4 linked regions of the Alligator mississippiensis genome follow. The protein of the gene in region 2 interacts with the protein of the main gene of each other region in a pairwise test. Links are inferred from orthologs where the notes say so. Each region holds a gene or a part of one and is shown on either strand. Other genes may lie near its edges.

The links.
Region 1: the proteins of TCAP (region 2) and LAMTOR5 interact in binary tests that used the Homo sapiens proteins (3 or more experiments, as listed by UniProt). The link is inferred for Alligator mississippiensis from reciprocal best matches to the Homo sapiens genes TCAP and LAMTOR5.
Region 3: the proteins of TCAP (region 2) and TRIM55 interact in a two-hybrid assay, tested with the Homo sapiens proteins (2 studies listed by BioGRID and IntAct). The link is inferred for Alligator mississippiensis from reciprocal best matches to the Homo sapiens genes TCAP and TRIM55.
Region 4: the proteins of TCAP (region 2) and TTC19 interact in binary tests that used the Homo sapiens proteins (3 or more experiments, as listed by UniProt). The link is inferred for Alligator mississippiensis from reciprocal best matches to the Homo sapiens genes TCAP and TTC19.

The regions. Positions count from the first base shown.
Region 1 is NC_081837.1:34,933,780-34,940,940, forward strand, and holds LAMTOR5 (ragulator complex protein LAMTOR5), read right to left. Parts: upstream 2,269-7,161; 5' UTR 2,198-2,268; coding exon 2,163-2,197; intron 2,081-2,162; coding exon 2,019-2,080; intron 1,593-2,018; coding exon 1,475-1,592; intron 708-1,474; coding exon 647-707; 3' UTR 513-646; downstream 1-512. UniProt on the Homo sapiens protein: As part of the Ragulator complex it is involved in amino acid sensing and activation of mTORC1, a signaling complex promoting cell growth in response to growth factors, energy levels, and amino acids.
Region 2 is NC_081827.1:165,413,154-165,420,112, forward strand, and holds TCAP (telethonin), read right to left. Parts: upstream 2,749-6,959; 5' UTR 2,678-2,748; coding exon 2,529-2,677; intron 1,934-2,528; coding exon 1,513-1,933; 3' UTR 515-1,512; downstream 1-514. Other genes in the region: melanoregulin, read right to left, coding at 6,466-6,705. UniProt on the Homo sapiens protein: Muscle assembly regulating factor. Mediates the antiparallel assembly of titin (TTN) molecules at the sarcomeric Z-disk.
Region 3 is NC_081826.1:64,419,749-64,426,673, reverse strand, and holds the start of TRIM55 (tripartite motif-containing protein 55), read left to right. Parts: upstream 1-3,918; 5' UTR 3,919-4,110; coding exon 4,111-4,278; intron 4,279-5,175; coding exon 5,176-5,348; intron 5,349-6,925. UniProt on the Homo sapiens protein: E3 ubiquitin ligase that plays an important role in regulating cardiac development and contractility, muscle growth, metabolism, and fiber-type differentiation.
Region 4 is NC_081837.1:2,085,446-2,092,548, reverse strand, and holds the start of TTC19 (tetratricopeptide repeat protein 19, mitochondrial), read right to left. Parts: upstream 3,013-7,103; 5' UTR 2,882-3,012; coding exon 2,452-2,881; intron 2,348-2,451; coding exon 2,265-2,347; intron 2,156-2,264; coding exon 2,045-2,155; intron 1,963-2,044; coding exon 1,924-1,962; intron 1,799-1,923; coding exon 1,742-1,798; intron 1,428-1,741; coding exon 1,366-1,427; intron 782-1,365; coding exon 687-781; intron 494-686; coding exon 339-493; intron 76-338; coding exon 1-75. UniProt on the Homo sapiens protein: Required for the preservation of the structural and functional integrity of mitochondrial respiratory complex III by allowing the physiological turnover of the Rieske protein UQCRFS1.

The sequences.
Region 1 (7,161 bases), on a different chromosome or scaffold from region 2:
GTTAAACTTTAATCCAAGATGTTTCCAATACAACAAAGCTGTCTGCCTTTAACTAGACAAGATTAAAGGTTTCCTGTAAAGGGACTTGAAGAATGGGGCATGTGCTTTTTTGACTTTGGTGTCAAAAGGCAGCCTGAATGAGTTTGATTTCCCCGCCACCCCCTAAGGTACAGAAAACAGAACTTATCTTCCCAAAAAGTTGAGGGACTGCTAATAAGCAGGAAGTAACCTTCCCTGAAAGGAAGGAATAGTGACTCCTAAGCTTCTGTCTTTCTCTAAAGTGTTAGATAGTGGTGTACTTCCACTTCACCTACCAACTGAAGTGTTGAACTCACTGCATGTGTTCTCACTCATTGGATAAATGAATAAATGATGTAAGGCCACATACTATACCTTTTCATTACAGAAGCAAAATAAGTGAAACCTCATTTTACACTTGACAGTACATGTCCTGTAATGTGCTGGAAATTAAAGATGCTGACCGATATACAGTAGCAGTCTAAACACACAGGAAAGTTACCAAGCATTTAATAGTTGGCCCACGTGTAGTTTTACAAGCACATGCTATATTACAGAGGGAGGTAGGAGTCCAACAAGCAGAAGTTGTTGCAAGGGTGTCGAAACAACCAAGCAGACTGGTGAAAGGTCAAGATGCCAGTTTGTGCACTGCTACAGTGATGCCATCGTGCTTCTTGATCATGATGTTCCTGAAACAGCAAATATTTAAACAGTTAGAATTTTCCAAGACTAGTAGCTCATCTCAAAACCAGTGCTAGAAATGCCTTTAGGTTTAGCATATGCCGTGGCGTGTCAGAGGCAAGATTACACATAAGATCTAATGAAAGAAATACTTGGCTTGCCATCTTTACTAATTACATCATTGTAGGATACATAACATTTCCAAGAGTCTCCTTGCAATTCAAAGTTTGGAAGTACCTTGGAGTGTTTAGGTGGGCTGTGAAGGCAAGTCTGTCTACCTAACTTCCTTTGTAAAAATTGATTATAAACAGGAACATAAGCACCATAGCATTGCTTCGGTAGTCATAAATACAATGCAAAAGTGACACTAGCTGGTCATTCTAACCACTTCCAAAAAGCCAGCAGTACAGTTAGAAACAGGAATGGGGGGTGCATCTCAAATGAGCATCCAGTGATTGTAAGGACACATGGGTCTCTCGCAGTCTCAGAAGATGCTCATTTGAGACCCCCCCCCCCCCCCCCAATTCCTAACAAACAATCCCTGGATAAACTCAAGAGAAAGGACAGGAACAGTCTCTCGATGTTCCCTTGGCGCAGGCCCTGCAGGAGGTGCCTCTCGCCCTGTACCTCCTTCCAAGCGGCGACACACAAAACTTAAAAGCCACCTGGAGATGAAGGAGGCAGTTCTAAGATCCCAGTCCCAGAAGCGTTCGAGCAAACCAAGGAGGAAAAATAAAAAAAAAACAGCAACAAGGATGGACACCCAGACACTCACCCATGATCCGATTCCAGACACACCACAGGGATATCAGTGGGGTCTGAAGTTAACTTGGCTGCCTGCTGAGCCAGAACTGAGATCACCCCTGCGTGTTCATCAGAAAGCGTCCCGCGACCTGCAGGGCACGAGAGAGATCTGTATCCAAGTTCACCAAAACAAGTGTCTCGACAGCAATCGCCAATCACACCTGCTTTGTACTTCAGCCGAATGTCTTCCCGAACTCGGCCGTCTTCCGCAACATCTCAAGGACACCCAAAATGATCTGAGAGCTGCTTAAAGAAGTGCTGGCCAACGCGCCCACGCTCCCCCTCCCCCACCTGAGTTGGGTCTGAAGATACTTGTGCTTTAGTAGGGTCAGATCTCCTGGGAGATGCAGGTGCTCGGGCTAGAAGCAGGATGCCAAACGGAGCGAGCCCGCGGGGCTGGTGCTGGGTCTGGGGCGGGGTTTCCCTGCCCAGCACGGGGCTGGCGGGCAGGGCAAGCATCTGCCCCCTGGCACGAGCCAGGCGCCTTATGGAAACGGGGGGGGGGGGGTACTCACAGCCCAGGTTCAGCCCTTGCGAGTCCGTGCACAGCACGCCCACGACGGACGGGTTCTTCATCCTGCGGGGCAAAGCCACAGCTCGGTCACTCGCCCGGCCCCGACCCGCCTCGCCCCCGGCCCCGGCCCCGGCCCCGCACGCACGTGTCCTCCAGGTGCTGCTCCAGGGCCCCCTCCATGGCGCCACAGGCTCGGTCACTTCCGCCCCGCTCAGCTGCCGCCCGTCACGTGATAAGCGCTGGAGCTGCCGGACGGGTGCTGCGGAGCCTCAAGATTCCCCGTAACGCGAAAGGTGTAGAGGGCGGGATTTGCCAGCCGTGCTGCTGGAACTGAGGCTGGAGCGTGGGAAATGGAGTCCAGCGGACGTGCATGGAGTCGAATGAGGGTGCATTGAGGCAGACCAGTGAGGGGTGCAGTGAATCCAGTGAGGGGTGCACTGAGAGGTGTACTGAGTCCAGAGAGCTGCGCCTCCCCTCCAGGGCTGGGGGTGCCAGGGTTGGGGAGCTGGGGGCGGGGAGCAGCTGACCCCGCTCTGAGGAAGAGGAGCCCAAAAGCTCCGCGCGGCCTGGCTGCCTTCATCCAGGGGCGAAGCCTGTGTAGGCGCCGACTCCGTGGGTGCTCTGGGGCAAAAGCACCCACTGAAAAATATGAGTGGGTGCTCAGCACCCAAGAGCCACAGCCATTTCCTGCTTGCCGATGTTAAAAAGGACCCCAGCCCCCCACGCTTTACCGAAAGAGGTAGCATGTTACTTCAACCCGGCTCTGCAGCATCAGTAAAGACTGAGCGCTTCAGCAGGGCGTTTTGACACTTGTAGCTAAAGCCAATTCAATCAGCTATTAGATACAAAAAGCGCCACTAAAGTGCCCAGTCTTCATCGATGTTGCAGAGCCGGGTTGAAGTAATGCTGCGTTGCCTCTTCTGGGCTCAGCACAGGAACGCGCCGAGTTTAAAGTGAATTACCATTTTGTTTTGCTATGGCTGCAAGCGTCCACCGGCAAAACCCAAAGTTGGTGCCTATGCAGGGCCATCAAACTGCACCCAGGTTGCCGCCCAGGCTGTGGCCTTGATTCACAGCTGAATCAGAGCCGTGACTCCTCACTTCCTTGAGTCCTTGTTCTGCATCCTAGGATAAGCTGCTGTACTGCAATGGGGGGAGGGGGGGCAGGGGACTGTGTTAGACAACAGGAAGTTTTCTTTCTCCTGGTCACTGCTTTGCACCAGGGAATAACACATGAGTGCTTTGCTTTCCTCTGCAGCAGTGGCTCTGAACACTTGCTTGGCCCTGGAAAAGCAACCGCCGTTGTCCAAGCTGCCAGTGCCACCTTTACATCCCCACCCAACTCCCCTTTAGATCCCATGTAAGTCGTCTCCCCAGGACATGGCAGCTATTTGTTACTGTCTACTTTTTAATTAGCTGTGTGACAGAGGAATAGGCACAGTACAGAAGGGACGTGGCTGTGGCCCTTCCTGTATTCCCCACTGGAGGGCACTAAATCCACATCCTGCACCAGCACATTGTGCATCATTTGCACAATATCCACAGCTGGCATGTAGGCGATCATATCCAGTGCGCAGCCCAGCCTGACTTTCAGCCCAAACACCAGTGCTCCTGTGGCTGGAAGTGTGCACCCAGAGAAATCCAGTCCATGAAGACCTTTCCAAGCACAGCAGGCTGGCAGTGGGCAGCACCAACACAAGCATGTCCAAGCTAAGAGCAGTTTCCACGCCATGCGCAGATTCATGGCTGCTCCAGAAGGGAGTAGCACATGTGTGCTGTTTGCAGGGCAAGCCATCTAAGCCCTCAGCCAGCCAGAAGTAGCTCAGAAATGACTGGACTCTGAGATCCCTCAGCAGAAAAAGATGAGATGAGGGATGTGCCTTCTGAGTCTCTCCCCCATGCCAATCCTCTGTTATCCTACATACTGTGTCATCACTCAGTGACACTGCTGTAAGGTGGGCGTAAAATGCTGCAAGGTCATGTTTTACGTTTGCTGGCGTTGATGACGCGAGTTATGTGGTGATGGTGAATCAGATCCAGAATCTATAGAGCTGGGCTTAGGTGCTTTATTGCATTACATCCTTCCTGCTGACATAGCTTTACGTAGCTGCCGGGGAAGTTGCCAGCATAACTGTCACCTAAGAGGTGTGATCATTTCACGCTCCCTACGCAACGTGGCTTTGAATAGCTGCAGTGCTAAGCAGACCTGAAGCTGTACAGGTGTAGATCCGAACTGAGACCCTTGCTGCTTGTTGTTCTGCTAATAATACATATGTGAAGGCTTGGAATGAGGTGTGTTAAAGAAACCCCCCAACAGGTTCGCATGAAAAACTCATGCGTGATGAATTGCCATGACTTGTTAGGTCTCCCGAGCATGGACATGAACAGGAACACACACACACACACACACTCTATCCTTTTCAGAAACCTTTCGGTGGGTGGCTAAATAAATCATATTCAGGGTTATTAGGTTGGTGCTGTTGCTTGTGCTTATAGAGGCTTCAGCTCCTGAAAGATGCAGATGAGCCACAAGGGCTTCCTCGCATGCTTCCCTGCAACTCAGGGGCAGGCAATTATCTTGGGCAGAGGGCCGCTTACTGAGTTTTGGCAAGCCATCGAGGGCCACATGACAGCCCAGGGCAGATTAATATTAATTTTCTAAATTTTTTTAGGGGCCCCGCGGGTTGGATAGAATGGCCTGGCAGGCTGCATCCGGCCCCCAGGCCACATTTTGCCCACCCCTGCTGTAACTCTTACTCGCCCAGCACAGCATCTCGCTCCATGTGAAGCCTGTTCAAATCGATGGGCCACATCCCCCCCTGCACTGCTTCAAGTGCCCGCATCTGGAAGGCCATTCAGGGTATATCTACATTGGAGTCAAGGGGTGACTGTAGCTCACATACATACATGAGCAGATGTGTATGTGTATATATATATATATATATATATATATATATATATATATATGTGTGTGTGTGTGTGTGTGTGTGTGTGTATACATATATGTGTATATATATATATATACAGTACACATACACATATCTGAACTAGCTTTTACCTAGCTGGTCAGGGTGCTGCTAACAGGTTACTCACAGCAGAACAGCAGAGATTCATTCAGGATCCTGGGTAAATACTCAGGCAGCTAGTCTCTGCTGAGCTCCATGCTGCCGAGGCCACACTATTTTCATCACCCGAGGCAGCTAACTCACCCCCTTTATGCTGAATTATTTCTCAGTGCACAAAACTAATGCAGGCCTGCTGATTTGAGTGGTTCGTCGAGGGGATTGTGCATCCGAACTCTTGGGTTCTCCTCCCTGTTCCAGAACAGGGTGTGTTGGGTCATCAGAGCCAGTTACTTCTGCCCTGTGCTTTCCCCATCTGTAAAGTGAGGATAATGATGGCCATCTCTTTTGTAAAATGCCTTGAAATCTATGGGAGGAAAGTCCCCTGCGAGAGCAAGGTGTCTTTATTATTATGACTGGCTCTAGACTCAGAGCTTATTCCAGGCTCTGCTGCTGATTTACCATGTAGCATTAAATCTGCTGTTTTACCCCTCCATGCCTCAGTTTCCCCCCAGCTCTGAAAGAAGCATGGCTAATTGACCTTGTAAAGTGCTTTGAGATTAATGGACAAGAGGCAGAGACCTGGCTGCAACCTGTCTCTTCCTGCATAGATGACAGGCACACCAGAGCACAGTGAGGTTTGGCCTCCTCTTGCAGCAGGTAGTTGGTTACAAGCATTAAAGGATGTGGGGGGAGAAGGCAGGGAAGAGGCAGGACGTGAAGTGTTTGATTCCCCCTTTGGGCAAGAAACCAGGGCCTTGAATCCAAAGACAGAAGTAATATGGTCAAATCCAGGGAAAAGCCAGTGTGGCCTGGATTTGGGCAACATCTTATCATGCAGACCCTGGGCCCAGCAGAGAGGTCCCAGTGCTTTGAAAGGGATACTACCCTCTCCCTTGGTGAGATGAAGGATGTGACACTCCAGCACCCTTCTTCCACGCCCCCTGCACAGCCCCAGCTGGTCAGTCCCAGGTTCCCTATGTAACAATTTGAATTGCATGTCAGGTCCTGTATATTAAATCAAATGGGACATCAATTCTGGGGCATCAGCACTCGCTCCCTGATGAGAAAGTCAGAAGCAAGGAGACTAATGTCCCTCTTGATATTTCGCACTGCCAGCAGGGAGGCGAGCTGAGTATAATCCCATCTGTCAGAGCAGCACAGGGCCTGATTGGGAGGCAGAGTGAATTACCTGGAGAGAGGGAAGTTTGTCATTCTGTGGATGCGGAGATATGAAACAGAGACAAAGGTCCTCCATCACGCCAGAGAGCTGCAGCAGGGCACATGGCATGCCTGACCACGCAGAATGGGTCCCTGAGCCCCCAGGATCCCTTGGTGCACATGCTTGTACACAGCAAGGACTCACTGCACGCACCTACTCCATCATTGCCTCACAGACCTACACACCTGCGCACAACAGGTGCTCATACGCCATACACAATGCACGCATGCACAAACCCCCACACACAAACACTCTATCCTCATCTCACAGACACACACACCAGCACACCACAGGCACTTACAGTACACACATGTGGGCATGCTCCAGCTTCACTTCACAGATGCACACACCTGTACATGACAGGCACCCACATTCCACACACACACACACACTATCCTCATCTCACAGGCGCACATACTTGCTTACAACAGGTGCCCTCATTCTTTACACAACACACACGTGCATACACACACACACTCCATCCTTACCTCGCAGGCATGCACACTTGCACACAACATGCACTCACATGCCATACACGACACAAACACACACACACTCCATCCTCATCTCACAGACACACACGTCTGCACATGACAGGTCCTCACACTGCATACGCCATACACCTCATCCTGCCCACACACAGATGTGCACCCATCTACATGTTACAGGCATTTGCTGCATACACAAGCACTCCATCCTGACCACAAAGACACACGCATTACAGGCATGGACTCTGTGGGTTTTGCCTTCTCCAGGTATGGGCCATGCTGCTTTTCCTAGGATCTCATGAGCATGCACCTGTGTAGTGGCAGGACATTAGCTACTCCCTTGCCTTAACCTGCTTTTTTACCTCTGGTGTT
Region 2 (6,959 bases):
GAACTGCTGGGTTGTCAGTCTGTGATGCACATCCCCCAGTGGGGTGCTGTAGCCAGCAGTGGGAGTTTGCTTTCTTCCTTCATCTCTGAGTGAAGTCAGTTCTAGGGGTTGAGTTTCTCCCTGGAAGCCAGGTGTGTGTGTAGGCTAAGACTGCTGGCCCAGTGGCTGGCTTGTATGCTGAGACTAGGATGGTCCATATAGTAAACACAAGCAAGACACACCAAGGAACTACTCAGAGTCCACCTTGCTGATTCCTCCCCCCAGTGGCAGGAAGGAGGTGGCAGAGTCTCAACATTTGCTGCTGTTCAGCTAAGGGGGAGGGGGTCAGGTTCCCCAGGGGAAGTTCTGGGTTCCCCACTCCTAAGACACCCATGTCCTGCCTCTGTGCATGAAGTCCCAGTGGCAAAGGGGCCAGTTGCTGGAAGTGTTTGCCTGGCCTGCCTGGGTTTTGATCCTTCTGGGGTGTGTCCCCAACCCAGAGCAGGTCCCACAGTGAAACAGAAGGACTCACTCAGCCTTTTCTTATTTTATTATTCAATGAGACTCATAGAATGTGATCCTGGATGGAAACAGGGGAAAACAATGAACAACAGAGACATGTGCAGCAGGTTCCTCCCCAGAATCAAAAGCTGCTGGAAGGAGCACCAAGCTCACTCACTTTCTGCCCTCTGGAGCCTCTCTCCTTAGTGCTGCAGTGAGCCCTGTATCCCAGCTCACCCCTACCTCTGAACCCTTTGACCTCCTCCAGTACCCTTAGCTACCCCACCCTACGGCAGTAAAAGCAGCCTCTGTTCTGCCCAGGGGAATTCACTCCATCCAAAAGAAAGGCTCCAGTTTAGGAAGGGGAAGGTGATCCTAGTGACACAGCAGGTCAGGAGCACAGCAGGGAAAAGGAGTCCTATCAGCCTCTCCAACTACTGGACAGCACACCCTTCCCAACAGCCACTCACTCTCTTCTGACTCAGGCACCTGCTCTAGCCATTAGCCTGTATTGCCTTCACCAGGCTGAGACTAGAACCCAAGGGTCCCAATTCCCAGCTTCCCCCGGCTCCAGATACCAACACACACTCCTCTCACTGTCCAGGCTTGCAATCAACTGCTCCAAACACTAGCCCTCACCTAGCTGGGGGCCCAAGAGCAGTAATGTCTCTTGGAAAGGTCCCCTGCTCCATGAAGCTAAATCTATCAGCCATTGTGACAGCTGATTGACAACCCCTCCAGGAAGACAGTCTTTAAAGAGACAGCCTGATTATATGAGCAATCATTGGCATGCAAGGTGTCAGACAAACTTGGCATGGTCCCTGCCCCAAAGAGCATACAGTCTAACTCAACAAGCCTAATGCAGCCATGGCATAGCCTCACTGAGCTCACACTAGGGATGGATTTGCCCCACAACGGGCCTGTCTAATAACCATGTGTCCCAGCACACTAGGGCGTGTGGGAATTTCTCATGCAGAGGGAGCCATAAACTGGGAAAACAGAGCCCTAAAGGAAAGTCTATGTACCAGATCCTCAGCCCCTTTGGGCCTCCTGGGACAGGGAGCGGGACAGGGAGCGGGGCAGGCCACCCTTGCCAAAGCTGGGCCGGCTGGGTGGGATGACAGGAGGCAGCTCCTTGGTGATCTCGGCCACGGCCGTCTTGTCTGGGCAAAGCCCATTGGCCTGGGTACCCCTGGCCAGCGCCGCCTCGAAGTCCAGCATATCATGCAGCTGGGGAGGGGTGGCCATCCGCTCGGCCTTGGCACTCAGGTCTGTTGGCATGAAGATGGGCAGGGGCAGGACCTGCTGGGATGGCAGGTGGTACTGGGCCAGGGGTTCACCCAGGCGGCCCAGCCGTAGCACCTGCCAAGGTGACCGCTGCACCACGATGCGCGTCTCCTGCTGCTGCCAGAATGTCTCCTTGTGCTGGTCATCCACCTCCTGCCGGGAGCAGCTGAGGGGAGGGGGCAGCATTAGGGAGCTGTGGGCACAGCCCAGCGGGGCATGCCCCCCCCCCCCCCCCCACACACACACACTTCCCCAAGCCAGGGAGCCCAGACAAGTCCCAGGACCCAAAGTGGTGACTGTCAGTGCCAGGGAAGGAGCAGACACTTAGATCCTTTCTGCCCCCAGCTGAGCAGGTGGCAGAGCTGTGCTGGGGCAGGGAGATGGGGCCAAACTGGATATGACCCTCCCCATTCCCCCTCCCACTTGGGAGGTGGTGCACCTCCTGGAGTGGGGAGAGGCCAAAGGCCTGCCAAGGAACAAGGGGAAAGAGGCAGACACAGGGGGATGGGCTGGGGGAGATGCTGAGCACTGGGCACTGCTCTGCCCAGGGGCCATGACCCTCTGCCTGTGACTATCTGGGCACCTTGGAGGGGCTGAGGCAGGGCCACACATTGCTCCAGGACCCTTGGCCCCATTTCCACAAAGGGTCCCAGGCTTCCCTTCAGCCCTGTTGGCAAGATGCCTTTGGCCAAGAAGGGGCTGCAGCAATGCTGGTGCCCACCCCCCAAACCTGGGGAGCCTGCTTCATCATCATCACTCACCCCTCTTCGGGCCTGGTGGAGAGCGACAGGTCCTTCCACTCGGCCTGGAAGGACTCCTTCCGTCCCATGTCCTCCTCCTGCACCAGGCAGCCCAGCTCAGCTGCCGACAGCAGCCCTGCACTACGCAGCACCACGCTCTTGCCAAACATGGCTGTGTCCAGAGCCGGCTCCTCTGGCAGGTGTGTGTGTGCCTCAGCCTGTGGGATTTGGCTGCCCAGGCTGGGCATATATAGCCTCCCCACTGCTATTTCAGGAGGTGTCACTGGCACAGCATGTACATGTTGCATGGACTGAAGCCAAGGCCCCCTTGGCACGAGCAGGTGCTTGGGGGAAATGTGTGATGATGCATGCCTGCATATGTGTGTGTGTGTGTGCATGTGGCTGTGTGTGTGTCACACTGGTCTGTGGGAAGATTCCAGCAAGTTCCTGCTCCTAGACATTTTCTCTGCACCTCTCCTATCCCATGAGTTGGGGTAGACAGCAGTCCCACATGGGTCCCTTCCCTCCAGCAGGGCTGGAGCATGGACCAGGGATGTCCTCACTGCCTGGCACTCACTGACCCCTTGATGCCATCCATCAGGAACACCTGGGTTAGCCCAGAACACCAGCCATTCTGTTAACAGCCCTGCTTGACCCCAGGCCCAGACCCCACTCACTCCCAGGCCCAGTGTTGCCCTAGCTGCCCAGGATTTCTGCTTTCCACTGCCCTGGCACAGGCCATCCATGGGGCAGATCCCAGCTCCTCCCTCAACACCAAAATGGGAGTGCAAACAATGTTTGTCAGGAGAAGATGCTTGATCCCCGTAACCCTGTCTGCCCCTGTCACTCCCCTCACAGGTCAAAGCCATCAGGCTGCCATGTCCAAACCCCAACCAAGGTTGGGAGGACAGTGTGAAAGCAGTGCATGTGAATGAATGCTGGAGGGTGCAGGGCAGCTGTTGCTGCACTTGTGCTTCCAAAATCCCCTTTGATCCCATGGACTGCAGGCTGATCCCTATGGAAATGCACCCACTGACTGGCCCAGCCCATCAGCTGATTTTCCATTCATGGGGTAAAAGAATTCCAAGACCTGCCTGAAAGCCTGATTATATAACAAGGCCACTGGCTGGCCCTTTCCCTACAAAGTGGTGCTAAATTACATCCCATCCCCTGTGCAGAGGCAGCTGCCACCTCAATTCCAGGCTCTTCCCTCAGAGGTCCCCAGGGAACAATGCTGAGCACATCAGCAGTGCAACTGGCAGCCATCCATTTCAGCCCTAGGCTTTCTGGTCAAGAGTGGGGCCCATGCAGAACCTACTGCCATAAGGTAAACCCTGCCCGTAAGCACACACATGACCATGTGCACCTGCCTGTGGAGGGAGAGGTGGAACTGGGACAGGCTGGCAGGGTGCTGGCATGGTGGGATCTCAGTTCATGCATCCTCCACATTCCCCCAGCCTGTCCCTGCTGTTAATAAGAAGCAAGGGCATTGAGAGCTGAGCTCCATGGTGCTGAGCCAAGTAAAAGTCCCACAGCTCAGCAGCTGGATGGAGCAGCACCTGGGCTCATACTCACAGGGGCCATTCAGCTCCTGGCCACTACATGAAGAGCCCCGTGCCCAGCTCTGACATGCGGGGGGTGGGGGTGGAACTAGGAGCCAGAGGGGTTGTGGCAAGGACAGGCCAGCTAATGCACCTTGTTAAGCAGGACCGGACTGGAGCTGAGGGCCATCTGTAGCTGAGCTGGGTCAGGCACAGTGTCACATTGACCACAGGGCTGGGGAACATGATAAGCACCCAGCTGAGCAGACTCTGCCTCTTCTCAATTCCCAGTGCCCTCAGGAAGGACCCCTTTGCCAAGTGGTTGGTGCCCAGCCTGGCCTCATCTGCCCCCTCCACCTCCTCCTGATCTCACAGCTGCTTTGTGGCCCAAGGGCTGCGGCCCAGCCTGCTTCCCGAGGCTCTTGCCCACAGCATGAATGACTTTTCTCAGGCCAGGGGGGGCAAGCTGCTGTTTGTGATCTCAACTGGCTGCCTTCCAGATAGTGTCCCCCCTTCCCTTGCCAAAATAGAGGACCCCCCCCCCCCCCCCATTGCTGCTAAACCAAGCAGGCAATGCCCCCCCAACACACACTGCCCTCATCACAGAGACCTATAGCAGAGCTGTGTAGAATGCCCCCCCAATCCCCCGCGCAATCCAGCCACAGCCTAGTAAGGGAGTCTTTTGCTTTGAAACTCTAGTTGCATTGGCAGCAATCGAGGGAGATGAGGGGACAGTAAACAAACTGATTTAGAGACTTGTTAACTGCTAACAGGTCCCTGGAGCCAAGATGAGTGGGGTGGGGGGTGGAGTGTACGGAGAGGGGGCAGGCTGATTAGAACTGAGCCCATCTAAATCCCCTGGTTCGGAGACATCAACTGATGCCAGCCTATAGCGTTGCTGCCAGCTCTGGCTGCCCCTCTGGTTCCATTTGCTCCTGGGCCTTTTCTGTGGCTAATCCCTGTTGGGCTCCAGTGAGAGGAAATGTGAAGGGATGGGGGGTAGGAAGGCGAGCTTTTTCCAGGCTCTTTATGCACATGGGCAGTGGATGGCTCCAATACCCTCTTTGAACCCTCACAGCTGAGGTTTACTGACAAGATACAACAGGTGTGGGAAATATAGCAAAGGGGGTATCAGAGGCAGGACGGCTGTACTGCAAAGCTCTATAGCCCCAGAAGAGGAGAGTAGGCAGACACCTGGGTCGGCCGGAAAGGGCATGGACTGAGCTGGGAGGCGGACTGAACCCAGAACAGCCTTGGCATAACTTTGGTGGGGAAGGACACAAACCAGGGCCAGAAGATTCAAGGAGCTGCCTTAGTAAGAAATGGCAGAGTTGGGGCAGATGGGTGGAGGGCAAGAGAAGGCGGCTGGGAAAGGACTGTCATGGTAGAGGTAGAGGTAGGGACAGGTGATTGATTTGGCATCTAAAAAAGCCATGAGTTCCCCTGGAGAAATGATGAAAAACTCAGGAATAAAACCCCCAGGGATTATTTTCCTGGTGTGAACAGCAGACCTGGGGAACCAGCAAACCTTACCACTTTAGGTAGCTTAATAGAACAGTGCCTGCCTCCACCTTGTCCAGTTCAATACATGTACCAGCCCTTAGTCCAGCTGCAGTCACCTATCCTACTTCATGGGTGTGACTGTCCCTTGCAGGTAACACCTATCATTATGCTTCAGGAATGGGGCAAGGCCTCCTGCAAGCTGCAGGTCACTGGCAGAACGACCTCTCCCATATAAGAGCAGAGTCTCCACCTCTGCTCCCAGTAACACCAGTACAAGTCACTACAGGCCGTTTTGGCTTGGACTGGGGCTGCTGACTGCTGATAACCCAAAGAATCAACACCAACAAGAAAGGAAGGTTCAAAGCTTTTATCCGGTCACTGCTGCACCCTGGCTAAGATGTTCTTCACTTCCAAAACAGCTATTGACAGCCAGCTGGCTCATTCCACCCCAGAAGTAGCTGCATTTCAGTGCTAGCAGGGGCCAGGAGTGAACCTGTTGCACTGAATTTTTTGACGGGTTTGGCTGTGCTGGAGGAAGGCTGGGTGGGGAGATCCTAACCTTCTCCAACCAACAAGCACCCTGGGCAACCACCTCCCAGTTTCCAAGGAGCTCTCCCACTCTCCAATTTAGCAGGATGGGAAAGTGCAAGGTGGTCATGCTCTTCCCTCCCTCCCCCCCAGCACCTGCTGACTGACAACCACAAAATTGGGATCTGCAGGGCTGGGAGGGGGGATCATTGTGCGGGGGGAATCTGTGCATGGGGAGAGGGCAGGAGAGGGTCTGAGCTGCCATCTGGCCCCTTTGCAGCTGGAGGGGCGCTCACCACTCCTTGCCAGGCACCCTGCCACAGTAGGAGCTGAGGTGACAGCTCTCAGCCTCAGCCATAATGCCCACTGCTGCCCACACACAGGCCTCACTCCATCAGCTTGGCCAGCAGGGTGTCTTCATCCACCTCCTCAGCCATCTCCTCCTCCTCCTCTTCTTCCTCCTCCACCTCCTTGGGCAGCTCAGGCCCTGGGCTTAGCGTCACCAAGATGGCCTCCTCACTGAGGGGCTCCTCCTCACTGTGGGGGGCCTTGTCTTCCTCCAGTGGGTAATAGCGCCGGGCCGCAGAGAGAAAGTCATCACCGACGTCGAGGACAATGAGCCGGTCCTGGAGAGGGCAACACAGCGAGGGTGGCAGAGGTCAGAGCAGGGGCTGCAGGGCACTGTGGAGCCCAGGCAACAGGGGGGCCAAGATCTAACGGGAGCTGGTGGCGGGCAGGGCTGGCTGTATGGGCCCAGCCAGGCTGCCCACAGTGATGACTCGGGATCCCCCTGCACCCCCAAGGGGATTTAGAGCAGGGACGGCAGTGAAGACAGGGTGGTCCCAGCTCCCCCAAGAGTCAGGGCAGGGGGGGTGGAAGC
Region 3 (6,925 bases), on a different chromosome or scaffold from region 2:
ATAAAAATAGAGGAATTAAAAGCTATGTCAACAAAGCAAGCATATCTGTTACACTGCAAAACAGGGCTTCTTCAGTAATTTTCAGTATGAGTCAGCAACACAGATGACATTCCTTGGGTAACGGCAGGTATATGATTATATAAGGTATAATGGCATGTATATGATTAAGTTATCACTGTCCCTCCAAAATAACACCAATGTATTATGTATTTATTTGTTTCCTGCACTAGTGCCTCAAGCTCCAGTCACGATGGGATCTGAGTGATGCTTGGTAGTTAAATGCACGATGCATCTGCACGTGCTGATTTAAGGCACATTAGCCATGTTTAAGGAGCATTAGGCAAATGTACATTAAGTTTAGGCATGTGTAAAAGGTAGGCCATTCCACCATGACAACAAGTGGTCTCCCCTCACTATTGTGAGGGTCAGGCAGGGGAATGGGTTTCCTCTGGGAACCAGTGAGAACCCAGGAAGGACAGAAAGGCTCAAACCTCCCTCTCGGTATTGGTTCTTCTATTCAAGCTGATGAGGCAGGCACTAGCAAGGAGCAGAGGCATGACAGGGCAGCTCCGCACCCTGAGCAGCTGCAATGCATAGAGCAGCACCTGCTGCAGTAGTTCCAATGGTGGTGGCACAGTCAGCCATTGCAGGAGTGGTGGCTATTTTTGCACTCCCCACAAAGTCCGCTCCCAGGGCTGCAGGCCTGGTCACCCTTCTCAGTTACGCTACTAGCAGGGAGAGAGATGGATTGCAGGACCATCAGTTAATGCTGCAGAAGTCTGGCTCTTCCTCTTCTCCTCCCATTTGCTGCTGGAGGAAGAAGATAGTTGTGTGGACTAGGTGGTGCATCCTTCATGTGCTCCTTGGGAGGAAAGACTCTTGCAACATTTACCACAACCCTAGCACCAGTGGGCACATGTACAGTGGGAAGGCTTCCTGAGACCACATCTCCTATGTCATCATCAGCCATGTCATTCAGGGATGTGAACAGAAGATTGTGATCCCTGACTGACTTATAGCTATCACAAGTTCCTAGTGTAGATGAAGCTACATTGGCAAAACCTCAGCTTTACTGGGATGGCTGGTTTGTCCCAAATGGAAAAAAGTCATTTTACTAAACTAGTGGTACAAAGCTCAGCTGGTGAATATAAGCTGTGTCTACAATAGGAATGTTTTGCTGTTGTCATATCCCAGAATTCCTCTAGTAGCATAGTTCTCCTGGGATGGATGTAGCCTGGATATTTTAATAAGCAGGGCTGGCCCTGGTAAATAGTCACAGCCTATACTGCAAAGATGTTGCTACTATACCTATTGCTGTACACAGCTTTACTCCCAGATGGGATAAGCTATGCTGACAAAAGAACTGTGTCAGCTAAGGGTGTGGTTTTTCACACTCCAAACAAATGTAATGATGCCAGCAAGACTATGTAATGTAGACCCTGGCTATAGGCACAGGTTTCTGCCATCTTTTATCTATTACTACATAACTGATTTTTGTCATAAGTCCAGCACTGTGCACAGAGCCAGCCTGCCAATCTTAGGGAGGAGAAACTGCTAGAGAATCCTGTGGAAATATGCACTCTGAACTAAATGCATTTCACCTAAAGATATGCAGAAGGGTCATCCTTGGATTCCTGGTGCAGAAATGGAGTCAGTCCATTTCCTTAATCATTGACCTCTTGGCTGAAATTCTCGTTAACAACGTGAAAGGGATACTGTCCAGAACCTCAACCACATAGTTACATTTCTACTAGAAGAATTCCATACTCATATTCTTCACTGGTAACCTATAGCTTACTGCTACTATAAATATTTTCACTTCGTTATACTGACATTCAAGCAAATTCTGGTTATACTCACTGGTTCATAAATCTCCACCATTTAGTAGCCCCGTCATTTCGGCTAGCTTGCTCCCATTCAGTGGTGTATAGACATTTCAATACATTGACACTTCTGTTCTTCAACTTTCTTTCTCAGATGTTTCCCATTCTCTGCCTTATTTTATAGAGAGGAAGTACATGCCTAGTCATCTCAGTAGAGCAAAAGCCATTTTCTTTCACTCTCTGGTTTAAAGCTAGCTTGCAGTGCAAGGGTGGGACATGGAAGAGAAGGCAATTGAAGTCTGTCAGGGGAGGAAATAGGGAGTTCACATTCCTCAGTGCATTAAAGTCATTACTGCCCCTGTCCACAAATGAAAAAGAAAGAAGAGATGCATCTCCCCTATTGCCAAAAAAAGATTCTCTTCAGCTCCTCCTCCTCTTTGAGCCAGAAATCTCAGCTGTTCCCTGTTCAGCTGCCCAAACAGCTTCCCCTTTACAACATCTGAGGTCTTGTCTACATGAGAAACTTACCCACTTTCACTCAAAATCTGGTTTTAAACTGATGTGGTTAAACTGTGCAAATTTCACACATGCACAAGACCTTTGCCAGATGTATACATCTGGGGTGAGAAATCCTGTCCTCACGGATTTCAGTGGGATGAGGATTTCACCCATGCAGTGAAAAAATATGCAGCGCACTGAAAATCAAGAGCAGACTAAATTTAATGTGAGTCAATTATATTGCATTCAAAGTGTATTATTCATTTTCATATGAAAGTCAGTAATAACCATCTTTTAATCCCTGTAATCCGCTGCCAAATTTCTAAATTGGTGCTTCCTACAAACCAGAGGACCTTGCTATTGAATTTAGATCCATCTTTCCCCAAAGCACATGCAGTGTTTGTTAATGATACTTGTTTTGCACTTATCTATCCAAAACACTTTTCAAGCATTAACTACTGTAAACACAAGGGCCTTCCCTTCTGCAAGGTACATTACTGGTAAATTATTCTATATTGCACTAATTACTTTTATAGTCAAATAAAACTGATGATTATATATTACATGTACAGTATGAAGCAGACAGTAAGCAACTGCTTACTGTATGTGTGGGGGTTTGAGTTTAAATTTGTGGACAGGATATTTATTGCTTGTACAGTTGTGTGCTAAATTATTGGCAAATAGAAGCACAGATGGCTTTGCCCTAAGATCAGGCAGCACATGCCAGAAATTATCTGGGAAATTGTCATTTTAAAAATAACTTTAGAACAAGTGCCAAGTTCTGAGAGATCTCTGTGTCGAATAAACAGATATAAACACAACACTGTCCAAAGCTAAAATATATTTGGATTATACCATGGAAAGCAGGAACAATTAACATTTATTCTCTGCCAGTAAAAATGAAATCTTTCCATATTTCTTTTGTGTGCTTTTAATCAGGAAATAGAATCCATGCTACATTTTTGTGCATTCTTTAACTGCTTTGGAAAAAATGGACCAAATACTCATGCTCCAGTTTCCTAAAATTCAGTTGCAAGTTAAAGCACAATTCTAGTCAAGTGATTTTTAATTAGTTCTTTAAAGTTTTATGTTTAGGTTCTGATTTTTTTCTGAAGGGAAGTACATCTTCATCTCACTGATTTCTCTTGTTCTAAAAGTCAGACTTTTTTAGTTTATTAACATGTACAAGTAAAGATATTGTAAAAAATCTACAGTTAGGTAAATTTGCAGTGTGTTCAGTTTATACTGTTCATTACTTTCTAGTAACTGAGCAATGATTGTTACAGTATATTGCTACTCCTGATGGCATTCTTTTCTTTTAATAGGAAGCAGTATTTTGTTATTTGGGCCATACAATTTCACTGCCATGGAGAGATAAGAACAAACTAGATGACATTTTACCATACCGTTTAAAACTTGTCCTTTGCTAAGGGGTGGGCTAGGGCTGCCATGTGTCAGTGACAAGCCTCAGCTCCTCTCTCACCTCCCTCCACCTCCTTCTCTTTCTGAGACAGGAATGTTGATCTCTCATCCCTGTTATCTGTCACCTGTCTGAATCTGTCCTCATGTCACTTGCTTATATGGACAAGTTAGAATGGCAACTTCTGACGCTGTGCTGCTAAAAACAGCCTCAGCTCCCGTCAGCCTATCTTTTAAACAATATCCTCCAGCAAGAGAAACTCAAACAACATTTGATCACACGAGCCTTGGAATTATTTCAAGGGAACTAACCCGGAAACTGACCAGTAGCCCCCTTATTCTGAACTTATGCACCTTGGAATAGCTAGGGATGAGCACCTCTTTGAATTACAAGTCCTTTTCCAAAGAGCAGCAAACCATGGATAACCTGGAGAAACAGCTTATTTGCCCCATCTGTTTAGAGATGTTTTCTAAGCCTGTGGTCATCCTTCCCTGTCAGCATAACCTGTGTAGAAAATGCGCCAGCGATATTTTCCAGGTAGGTTCATTTCAGCATAAAGATCTGCCAGCCTAAGTTCAAATAGCACTTGCTCAAGGTAAAGAGAAGAGCAACATTTTACAAGATTGGCTTATTTACTGTTAATGATTGGCAAGCGTTTAAAAAGGCATAAGTAAAAGCAGAACATAGAAAACTTCTTTGATGTGTGGCTTCCTTTGCATAGAGACCTCTGTGGTTTGGACTATATAAATTGTTATATGATTTTCTTACATACAGTGATCACAGAGCCATGGCAACTGTTCTGATCTGGCCCATTGTCTTTTGAATTTTGTTGGGTTCCTGACATTTATTTACTTATACTAAATTCATTTTCAGCATTTACATACATTTAATTATGAATTGGTTTGTTTAACTATTATCTTTTTGCTATCTTTGTATCTCCAGGCAGATTGCTACAGTATTATTAGTCAGTAGGCACCAAGTGAAATAACATTACCATACATATTTCTTTTGGGTTTTTTAGCCAAAAATCCCCAGTTAGGTTAGTAAAGAATTATTGGGCCTAATCCAAAATTTGTTGGAATCATGGGATTCTTTTCATTGACCTCACTGGTTTTGGACTAGGCGTTAAATAGGGGGCTTCAGTAGCATAAGAGGGTGGGGGGGGACTGAGGTAGCTGCTCTGAGCACTGCCTTGGAGGGACAGCAGTGCAAAAATAGTCATGCTACAACATCAGCTGAACACCCCACCACCACTGGAATGGTGGTGCTGCCCTGTGCTTTGTGGCTGTCACAGATGTGTTACTACATCTCTGGGTGGCTGGATGTATGTCTTGTGTTCTGAACATTAAGGCTATTACCAGAACAATTGCAGAGTGTTTTAAGAAGGTGTGCATGGCCTTATTCACCTATAATTTTATTGCTTGGCAAGAACAGGCCTCCAATCCATACCTCACAACCAGAGGAGGCACCACAGTGGCTTCAGGTGGTCGATTTCGATGTCCCTCATGTAGACATGAAGTAGTTCTGGACAGACATGGTGTGTATGGACTTCAAAGGAACCTTCTGGTGGAAAATATCATTGACATTTATAAGCAGGAGTCTACCAGGTAACATACTCATTTGTATCCTTAGCAGAATGCTGACAGTACAAGCTGACGAAGCTTATGATTGTGGAAGGTTCTCCCTTCCTTTCTTGCCTTTGTTTTATAAGTTGTTGGATATATTTAGTTATTTTAGCTTTTGGAGATGGTAGAGTTATCCTGTTGCGAAAATGACATATCATACGTGCTTCTGTGTTTACTGTAGAATAAAGTCAACTCTTATTTATTTTATATCACTTGACCAAAAGCAGTGTTCAAGTAGGTGTTGAGCTTTTGCTTCTAGTGCTTATTCATATAAGTAATACTTAGTCATGGACACAGAGTTCTGGAAGTCAATCTGATTAATCATATGAATTAGGACAGAAGGATCTGGTCCATAACTTTATCTTATAAACTTTTCAAACCCATATGTTCCACAGCTTGTCTTCAGGCATGTACTCCTATGTTAATAAAATGTTGGCACTTGCTGGAAAGCCCTGAGGGACAATTGAAGCAAAAACAAATACATCTGAATTATATTCGGAAGCCAGCTCGCATCATAATAAATTGAATCATCAATATTTAAAAAAAGCATGCCTGTCAGCATAGGATGTGAACTCATGAAATCAAGTCTTATTTAGGACTCACTTTCTGTATAGAAGAGACTGAAAATGCCAAAAATAACAGTTCATGACAATGCTGTGTAGCTATGTATGGGAAAGCCAAAATTCTAGAGGAGAAGAATGGGTTAACCCTAACAAGTGAGATTAATCGTAAATTACAGTCACTCACGGCATATATACATACATGAGTAATCTACAGGATAATATCATTGTTATTTTTGTTATCAAATGATAGGTTGGGAGGGTGCTGATACTTAATGGATTGCAGAGCTCAGAGCTTAGGAAAGAAAATCTAAATAGTGGACCTGATCCTGTAACTTGTGCCAATCACATAATCCTTCCTTACAGAAGCAGTTCCACTGACTTCATTACAAGTGAGGGCTTGTTTATAGCAGTGGTTCTCAACCTCGTTAGACTCAAGGCACCCCTCAAAAAAAGCCAGCCTTGTTTTCACTGTTTGTTTTTTTTATTACAGAAAAATAATAAGGCAACTCTTTTGTTGCAAACAACTCAGAAAGGCCACAAAAGGCCAGAATGTTTTTGATACTATAGGTTCCTATTTGAAATCTCTGGGTTTATCTTGTGAATCATGTGTAGATGCTTGTGTATTGTGCGGCACCCTTAGGCACCCTTTAAAGGATGTCACAACACCCCTGCTGCCAAATCCCTAGGGTGCTATGGTACCCTTGTTGGGAATCACTGTTTTACAGGAACGGTTCTATGTTGAATATCACTTTTAGAAGCAGGTCGACAAGACATTGAGGCCTCTTGCTACCAGTCATCTTACAAATTGTTTTGTCAGGCAGGAACTCTCAGCTAGACCACAAAGAATACTAGCTAAGGATACCACACACCCAGCAGGTTAGTCGAATCTTTGTCAGATATGTATGAGACATGCAAAATGGACACTGCCCCTTGGCCAGAAAACAAAAGAACAAAGGAACCCACAGTTGCAGGGAGTCCTCTCTCTTTAGCACAAAA
Region 4 (7,103 bases), on a different chromosome or scaffold from region 2:
CACGTACGTGTATGCTTCGTCATAGCGTCCCTGCACATCCAGCGCGGTCGCCAAGTCGCTCATCAGGATCAGCGTCTGCACCAAGACAGCAAGGAAAGCATTAGTGCAGGGAACAGAACAGTGGCACAGAGCATTTGCCCTTGTGGCAAGAGTGACAGACTCCTCTGCAAGATGACAACAGTGCTGGCTCGCCCACATGGACCATTTTCATGCTCAGGCTTCGGCTGCCTGAGCAGAGCCTGATCCTGGAACCCGGCCCCAAGGGGAGCAGGCCCAGCTCCAAGGCAATCCCGTTGTGAGCACACGTCCCTTGATCGCAGCCGTTGGTCCCAGCTAACCTGTGGATGGGTCTCTCCCTGGATGTCCCTGGAGATCTGCAGGGCTTTCTCATACATTATTTGGGCCACAGCTGGCTGGTTGCGGGTGAGGAGGTAGCGGCCGTAGGAGTCCAGGCATAATCCAAGCAGGAGGCGGGTGTTGGCTTTTTCCTTTGCTGCAAGCGGAACAGAGATGAGTTGAGGTACTGCCCCTTGCTCCCAGGGAAATACTGAGTACAAGACTTGTCAGCCAAGAGTGGGAGGGGGTCTGGGCACCAAGGCAGGCAGTGGCTGGAAGGCATTAGGCAAGGAAGTGCATGGCAGGCACAGCACCACGCTGGCCACAGCGAGCACCTAGGAGCTGCCTACCAGGGAGGACGTCTTCAGGCAAGTCCTTCTGCGTGGCTGTTTTCTCCTCCAGGGTCAGGATGCAGAACTTGTAGCCTGTGATAGCCTGCTGGTCTCTGCATAGCAGAGGGGGGAAAAAAGTCAGCCTTTGGCAAAGCAAGTCCACCCCCCACTCGGAGCAGCACGTCCCAATCTCATCCCCGCCCCCACTGAGACCCCAGAAAGGCGTCACGGCTCTGGGCAAACAGCACCTGCTCCCAGCTTCAGCCCCTAACACCGCGCACCAGCTCTGGGTCAGCTCAGCTAATTGGTGAAGGGCTCCAGGACCCCTGGAGATAGCGTTGCAGGGCAGGTGTGCTCTACTGCTTGGCTCCGATCCTAACTGCTAAAACCCAAGTCCCTCTGGCCTGCGCACATTCAGTGCGTTAGTCTCTTTGAAGTCACCTTCTGCAGGGACTCCTCCTCCGGTGACTGCAGTTGGGGCTGGCCTGCTGCCCAGGCCCAGCAGCCAGAGAGAGGCCCAGCCTGCTGTCATGAGACCGAGGCCATCACGGCCTCTGAAGCCAGAGTTGAAGCTTCCCCCTGAGCTGTGCCAGCAGCAACCTCCTTCCCAGGGGCCAGACTCTCCCTGGACCCAAACCATCACGGACGCCTCGGAGCCCCTGAATAGGGCAGGCTGCAGCCCGGGGCGCGTACTCACTGGTTCTGAGCAGCGTAGATACTGGCCAGCTTGAGCGACATCTCGATGATCGCGTTGTCATCCTGCCAGGGGAGAAGCCAGAGGGGCATGGACACGGCAGCCAGGGCGTTCGGGATCACGCCTATAGGGCATAGGCCAAGGTCGCGTCCTGCACGAGGCAGGGGCACAGCTTCCGGCAGTGGACACTGCTGGAGCGGGGGCGGAGGTTGCTGCGGGCCCAGCACAGGCAGCTTGCAGGCTCTACAGGGAGAGGGACCAGTCCACGGGCTGCGGAAGAGGCTGCAGGTTTGTCTGCCCCAAGAGAGGTAGGGATGGGGGCGGTAGCCATGTCCCTATACGGAGCAGGAAACCGTGCGGCGGGCGGCAGGGGACTCACCTGCTTAGTGTCCCCAGCCAGCAAGAGGCTTATCACTGCTTTGAAGAGTTTCTCCGCCTGCAACGAGAGGAGGTGCGCGGTGAGGAGCCAGCTCTGGGCTCGTCGGGGTGGGGAGGGGTGCTGAAGTCTCCGGTCCCCGCACGGACTCGTTTTGCACTCCCGCCCCGGAGGGCTTCACTCACGCTGTCCAGCTGCCCCTGCAGCAGCGCCAGATTCGCCATCTAGGAGAGAGGCAGACGGGCGCTGAGAGCCGCCCCGTGCCGCGGGCGCCCCTGCAGCGAGCGGGGGGGGGGGGTACGGTACCATGGCGTAGGTGTAGACGACGGCCTGCCTGTGCTCCGACTGCTGGGCCAGGTGCGCCGCGCGGTGCAGGAGCCGCTCCGCCTCCTCCAGGTCGCCCGCCGCCACGCGCAGCTGCGAACGCACACCGGCACCGCGGCAGCTCGCGCGGCCTCGTCCCCACCACCTGCACCTGCCCCAGCCCCAGGGCGCCCGCCCGCCCCGCCCCGCCCCCGCTTCCCACCTTGGCTTCCTTCAGCAGGATTATCACAGCGTCCTCGGCCCCTGCGCCCGCCTCGCCGGCGTCCTCCGAGAACAGGGGGAACGCTGCAGGGAGGCGTGCGCTGGACACGGAGCAGTGCCAGGCCCCCCATTCCCACCCCTGTACCCCCCGCCGCCCCCTGCCCTCCCCGTGCCCCCGCCGCGCTCACCGGCCAGCAGACCCAGGCCCAGGCCCGGCGCCCCCCGCCGCGCCCCCCGGCCCCGGCCCGCGGCCCAGGTGACGGCGGCGCCCGCGCGGGGACAGCGCCGCCCGGCGGCCGCCGCGAGCCGCGCCAGGGCCCGGGGCAGTGCCGCCAGCATCGCCCCGCGCTGCCCCTTTAACAGCGGGAGCACGTGACGGCGCACGTCACCTCCGGCGCGGTGGAGGCGGAAGTGCCCCCCCCCGGGGTGACGCGGGCGGTTGCTATGGTGCCGGGCCGGCGGGATGCAGCGGGCTGAGCCGGCGGCTGCAGCCCCGCCAGACGGTAAGTACGCCGCGGCGCTATCCCGGCGTGCCTTGCGGGCCCAGGGGAGGGGCGCTTCCCTGCATGCATTGCGGCCCGGGGGCGGGCGGGCGGGCTGGTGCTTCCCTGCATGCATGGCGGGCCGCGCAAGATGGCGGGACGGCTGTTGAGGGCGGGGTGGAGCTGCCCTTTCCCAGCATGCATTGCAGGCCTAAGGGAACGGCTGAGCCCCTCTGTGGAGCGGGGAGCATATCCCAGCATGCATTGCAGCGTGAGCAAGATGGCGGGTCCGGCGCGCGGATGACGCGGGGGGGGGGCTAGGCTCCCATTTCCCAGCATCCATTGCGGGCCCAGGGCTAAGACCAGTCCAGCGTGCTGCGCCTGTTTCCCAGCCGGCATTGCACGCCCAATGCATTTCCCAGCATGCACTGTAGGAAAATGTTGCGCTAGTGTGAGCTCTGGCCCCTGGAAGGTAGCATTTCTCAGCATGCCGTGGGGTTGCTGGGGGTGGTGCAGGAGTCGTTTCCCAGCATGCATTGCGGGGCCAGCACAGTGCCCTGTCCAGCATTTGTGCATGCCCATGAGGGTGGCAGTTCCCAGCATGCATTGCGGACGCAATCCGGTCGGCTGTCTGTACCCCTGAGGAGAGTGCTTCCCAGCATGCATTGGAGGCCCAGGGACAAGGCTGAACCTCTGCGTGCACACGTGTGTGTGTGTGTGTGTGTGTGTGTGTGTGTGCGCGCGCGCGCGCACAGGGGGGCATATCCCAGCATGCACTGCTTGCACAGGACGGCTGGTGCGGCCTGCTCTGTGCCCTTTTGGAGATGTCCTGGGGTCTGGCGCAGTGTCATAGAGGCAGCATGTCCCAGCATGCTTTGCACCCCTTGAAGGCGCCCTCATGTCCCAGCATGCATTGCTCCAGCTTGATTCAAGGACGTTCTGGTGCCCGGCTGTAGGGTGCCAGAGCGCAGTGCGGTCACGTCAGCGTGCACAAGGTCACGGTCCCAGGCTCTGCTGCAACTATTATAAGCCCCCTTTTGTCGTCCCCTGGGCAAACGCGCAGCGTCCTGAAATAACTCGGATTCATTCTCTCTGCTCCCCGGGGAAAGGCTCATAGCTCTGGTTTGTCTTTCGGAGCAGCCAGGCCAAAAGACACCGGCTGTTCCTTGTTGTGCTTCTGACTGCTCAGGCAACTGGGCCCAACTCGGAGTCACTTCCCCGTGTGCACCCCCAGGCGTGTTGTGCAGATTGCATTACAGGGCTGCGGGGGGGAAAAGGCATTGGGAGAGAGCTGCTGCCTGCAGCAGGCAGGCTCCTCCTGGCAGAGAGGGGTGCTGCAGGCGGGTCTGCCTCCAGCCCGCGCCTGGGGGGGAGTCGTGGTCCAGCACCGCGCAGGGCCTGCCAGGAGGGCCGAGGAGCTTGTGGGCTTGGCTGCCGGCCGGAGTCCCGGGCTGTCGGGGCGGGCGGGGGCAGGGCTCCTTGGGGCGGAGGGGCCAGGCCCAGGACAGCAGGCTCCTGCCTCAGACGGGGCTGGAGGAGGGGGCTGCAGGTGGGTCTGCCTCCAGCCCGCGCCCGGCGGGGGGCCGTGGTCCAGCACCGGGTAGGGCCTGCCAGGAGGGCCGAGGAGCTCGTGGCCACCCCCGGGTGGGGAGCACTGCACCGCAGCTCGGCCCAGCGTGGAGTGGGGTGCTGCCGCCCCGGGGTGCAGGCTGGGCCGGGCCGGGCAGGGCAGGGAGCTCCCCTCACCGAGCGGAGCCGAGCCCGGCAAGCCCTGCCTCTGCCCGGGGCAAGCACCCCCGGAGCTGGCGGGGTGCAGCGCGCCACGGGTCCGGGGGTCCCCGTCCCCCCCGCCTGAGAGGGAGGGCCCGGCTGCCGGCAGGAGTCCCGGGCTGTCGGGGCAGGCGGAGGGGCCAGGCCCAGGACAGCAGGCTCCTGCCTCGCATGGGGCTGGAGGAGGGGGCTGCAGGCGGGTCGTGGTCCAGCACCGGCCTGGGCCTGCCAGGAGGGCCGAGGAGCTCGTGGCCACCACCGGACGGGGAGCGCCGCTCCCCCGGGCTCAGGCGTGCCCCAGCTGGCGCAAGGCTCTGCCCCAGTGCAGGGCGCAGGAGGGTGTCCCACAGCGGGGGCCGCTGGCCGGCCCCTCGCGCCGCTCCTGCGCCTTCGCCCAGCACAAGCTCCTTGGGGCAGTGAGCGGGCTCGCAGGCGCGGCGCTGGCACCCCTCTCCCAGGACACCAGAGGTGCTTCCCCCCACCCCCCAAGGGCTGCAACCCCTGGGGTGCTGGTCTGCGTTTTGCCCAGTGGCCGCCCGGCTCAGGGCCCTTTGCCTTTTGGGGCCCCGGTGGCAGCTCCGCAGCTCGACCTCGGTCTGAGCCAGGCCCTGGGGACGGTCTTTGGGCAGACAGCCTTCCCTCGGTCCCCACATAGCCGTGCTCTGCAGGGCCACTGATGGCTGCCAGCAGAGGTCTTCCCGAGAGCCGGGGGGCCGGGGCACAGTGCTGCGAAGCAGGGGCAGGGGGTCCGGATTCCCTTGTGGCTGGAGGCCTCTGAGCCCCCCCTTCTCTGCACCCCCTTAGCCATGCTCGCCGGGGAGCTGGGACCCCGCGGCGGTCCCTGCTGAGCAGCCGGAGAAGACCTGTCCGCACAGGTCAGGGGCACATGCTGCACGGCCTTGCTTTATCCCAACAGCTCCCAGGGCCGTAAACAGAGTCCGAGGTCTCCAGACTGGAGTATGAACAAGCAAGTCTTCTCCGGCTTGGCAAATATGATGGCCCTTGGCCTGCAGCGGCTGGGCAAGCACCGCTGGGGGAAGCAAGAGTGAGAGCTGGGCCCAGAGGATGCCGGCCCTGTGCAGCATCAAACCCACGGGCCCTGCCTGTAAAGGACGGGGCCTTGACCCCCAGGTCACAAGCCAGGCCGGGCCCGCCGCCTTCCCGGGGCTCCCTTTGTAGTGGGCCCAGCGCGTGTCCGCAGGGAAAGAGTCAAGGGGCCCGGACGTGAAGGGCTCCCCAGCCTGGTCCTGTGGTGCACAGCGCTGGGCCTCTCAGTGTGGGTGCTGAGGTCCTGGGTTCAGGTCCCGGCCTCTCCCTGTTTTGCAGGGAGGTGCCTTTCTCTTCCAGTGGCGGGGCCCGGGCGCTGCGCCTCAAGGGGCCCACGGCCGGAATAGCTCTCAGCCTTCCCCAGTAGTCTGGTGGTAAGGGTGCCACCCTAGGTGGCAAAGGTGCTGGGTTCAATCCCTGCCCTGGCTGGAGCTCTCGGGGCCCCTCGCCTCTCAGTGAGTCCCCTGGTGCCTGTGGCCAGGTGCCTGCAAGGAGGCTGTGCTGGGTTGTGGGGAGGTCTGTGGGGGGGAGGGGGTCTGGCAGAGAAGCTGAAATGAACCTGTGGTTGAGGAGAGGGGTTTTTTTTTGCACTTTGAAGCCCAGCCCCAAAACCAAGGCAAAAAAAAACCCGGCGAGCCACCGGGTGGTTCAGGACATTTTCCAACTGAGCTGCGAATTCAAGTCCCCTCCGACTGGCAACCGCGATCACCCCTGAGCTCCAGCTAGTAGGCAAGCGCCGGAGGGGGAAACGGTTGCGTAGTAGATGGCGGCCAGGGGACTCAAGCCTTCAGGGACTTGAACCCGCAGCCCCTGCCACCGCTGACAGTGTCCTGAACCACCCTGCCAAAGGGCCAACCTGACAGCCCCCCTTCCCGCTGGTCTCTTCACTCGCCTCGCCGCCTGCCCCGCAAGCAAATAGGCACCAGGCGGCCGCCCCAGGCCTTAAAAGAGTCAAGGTGCCCGCATCCGGACTCGAACCCACAACCCCAAGGTAGCGCTCCACCACCGTGCGCCACCACCCAGCTCTGGCAACCCCCCTCCTCCTGGCCCCTTGACCCGCCGCCTCCACCTGGCACTGAGCACCTCACAAGGGAGCCCCGGGGCAGCCAGCCCCCCCACAGGGCCCCGGGGGCAGCGGCACAGGCTGTGGGGCCGCACGGCCTGCTTTGACCCCGCTGGGGCACGGCCTCTGCACGTCTGGGTCGGCTGCTGCGGGGGGCTTCCCCGCACGGGTGGGCTCGCCTCCCCTCCCCTCCCCTCCCTGCCCGGGCAGGGCCCTTCTTGTCTCCCGCTCGGGGACCCAGGCGGCTCCTGCTGCTAAAACCTGGAGCAAGGACCAGCGCCGCCTGCGTGCACCCGGGCCCGGGCCCGGCTGGGGGCAACAAGAGGGGTCCCGGGGCAGGCGGCCGCCCCGCGCTCACCGGCTCCGCTGTGTCTGCCCTGGGGAGACAGTTGTGTGCGGGGCTGGAAGGACCCCCAGCTCCAGCCCAGCCCGGACAAGGGTTTCCTTCTCTTGTCCGGCCTCCGCACCCCGCCCCCGC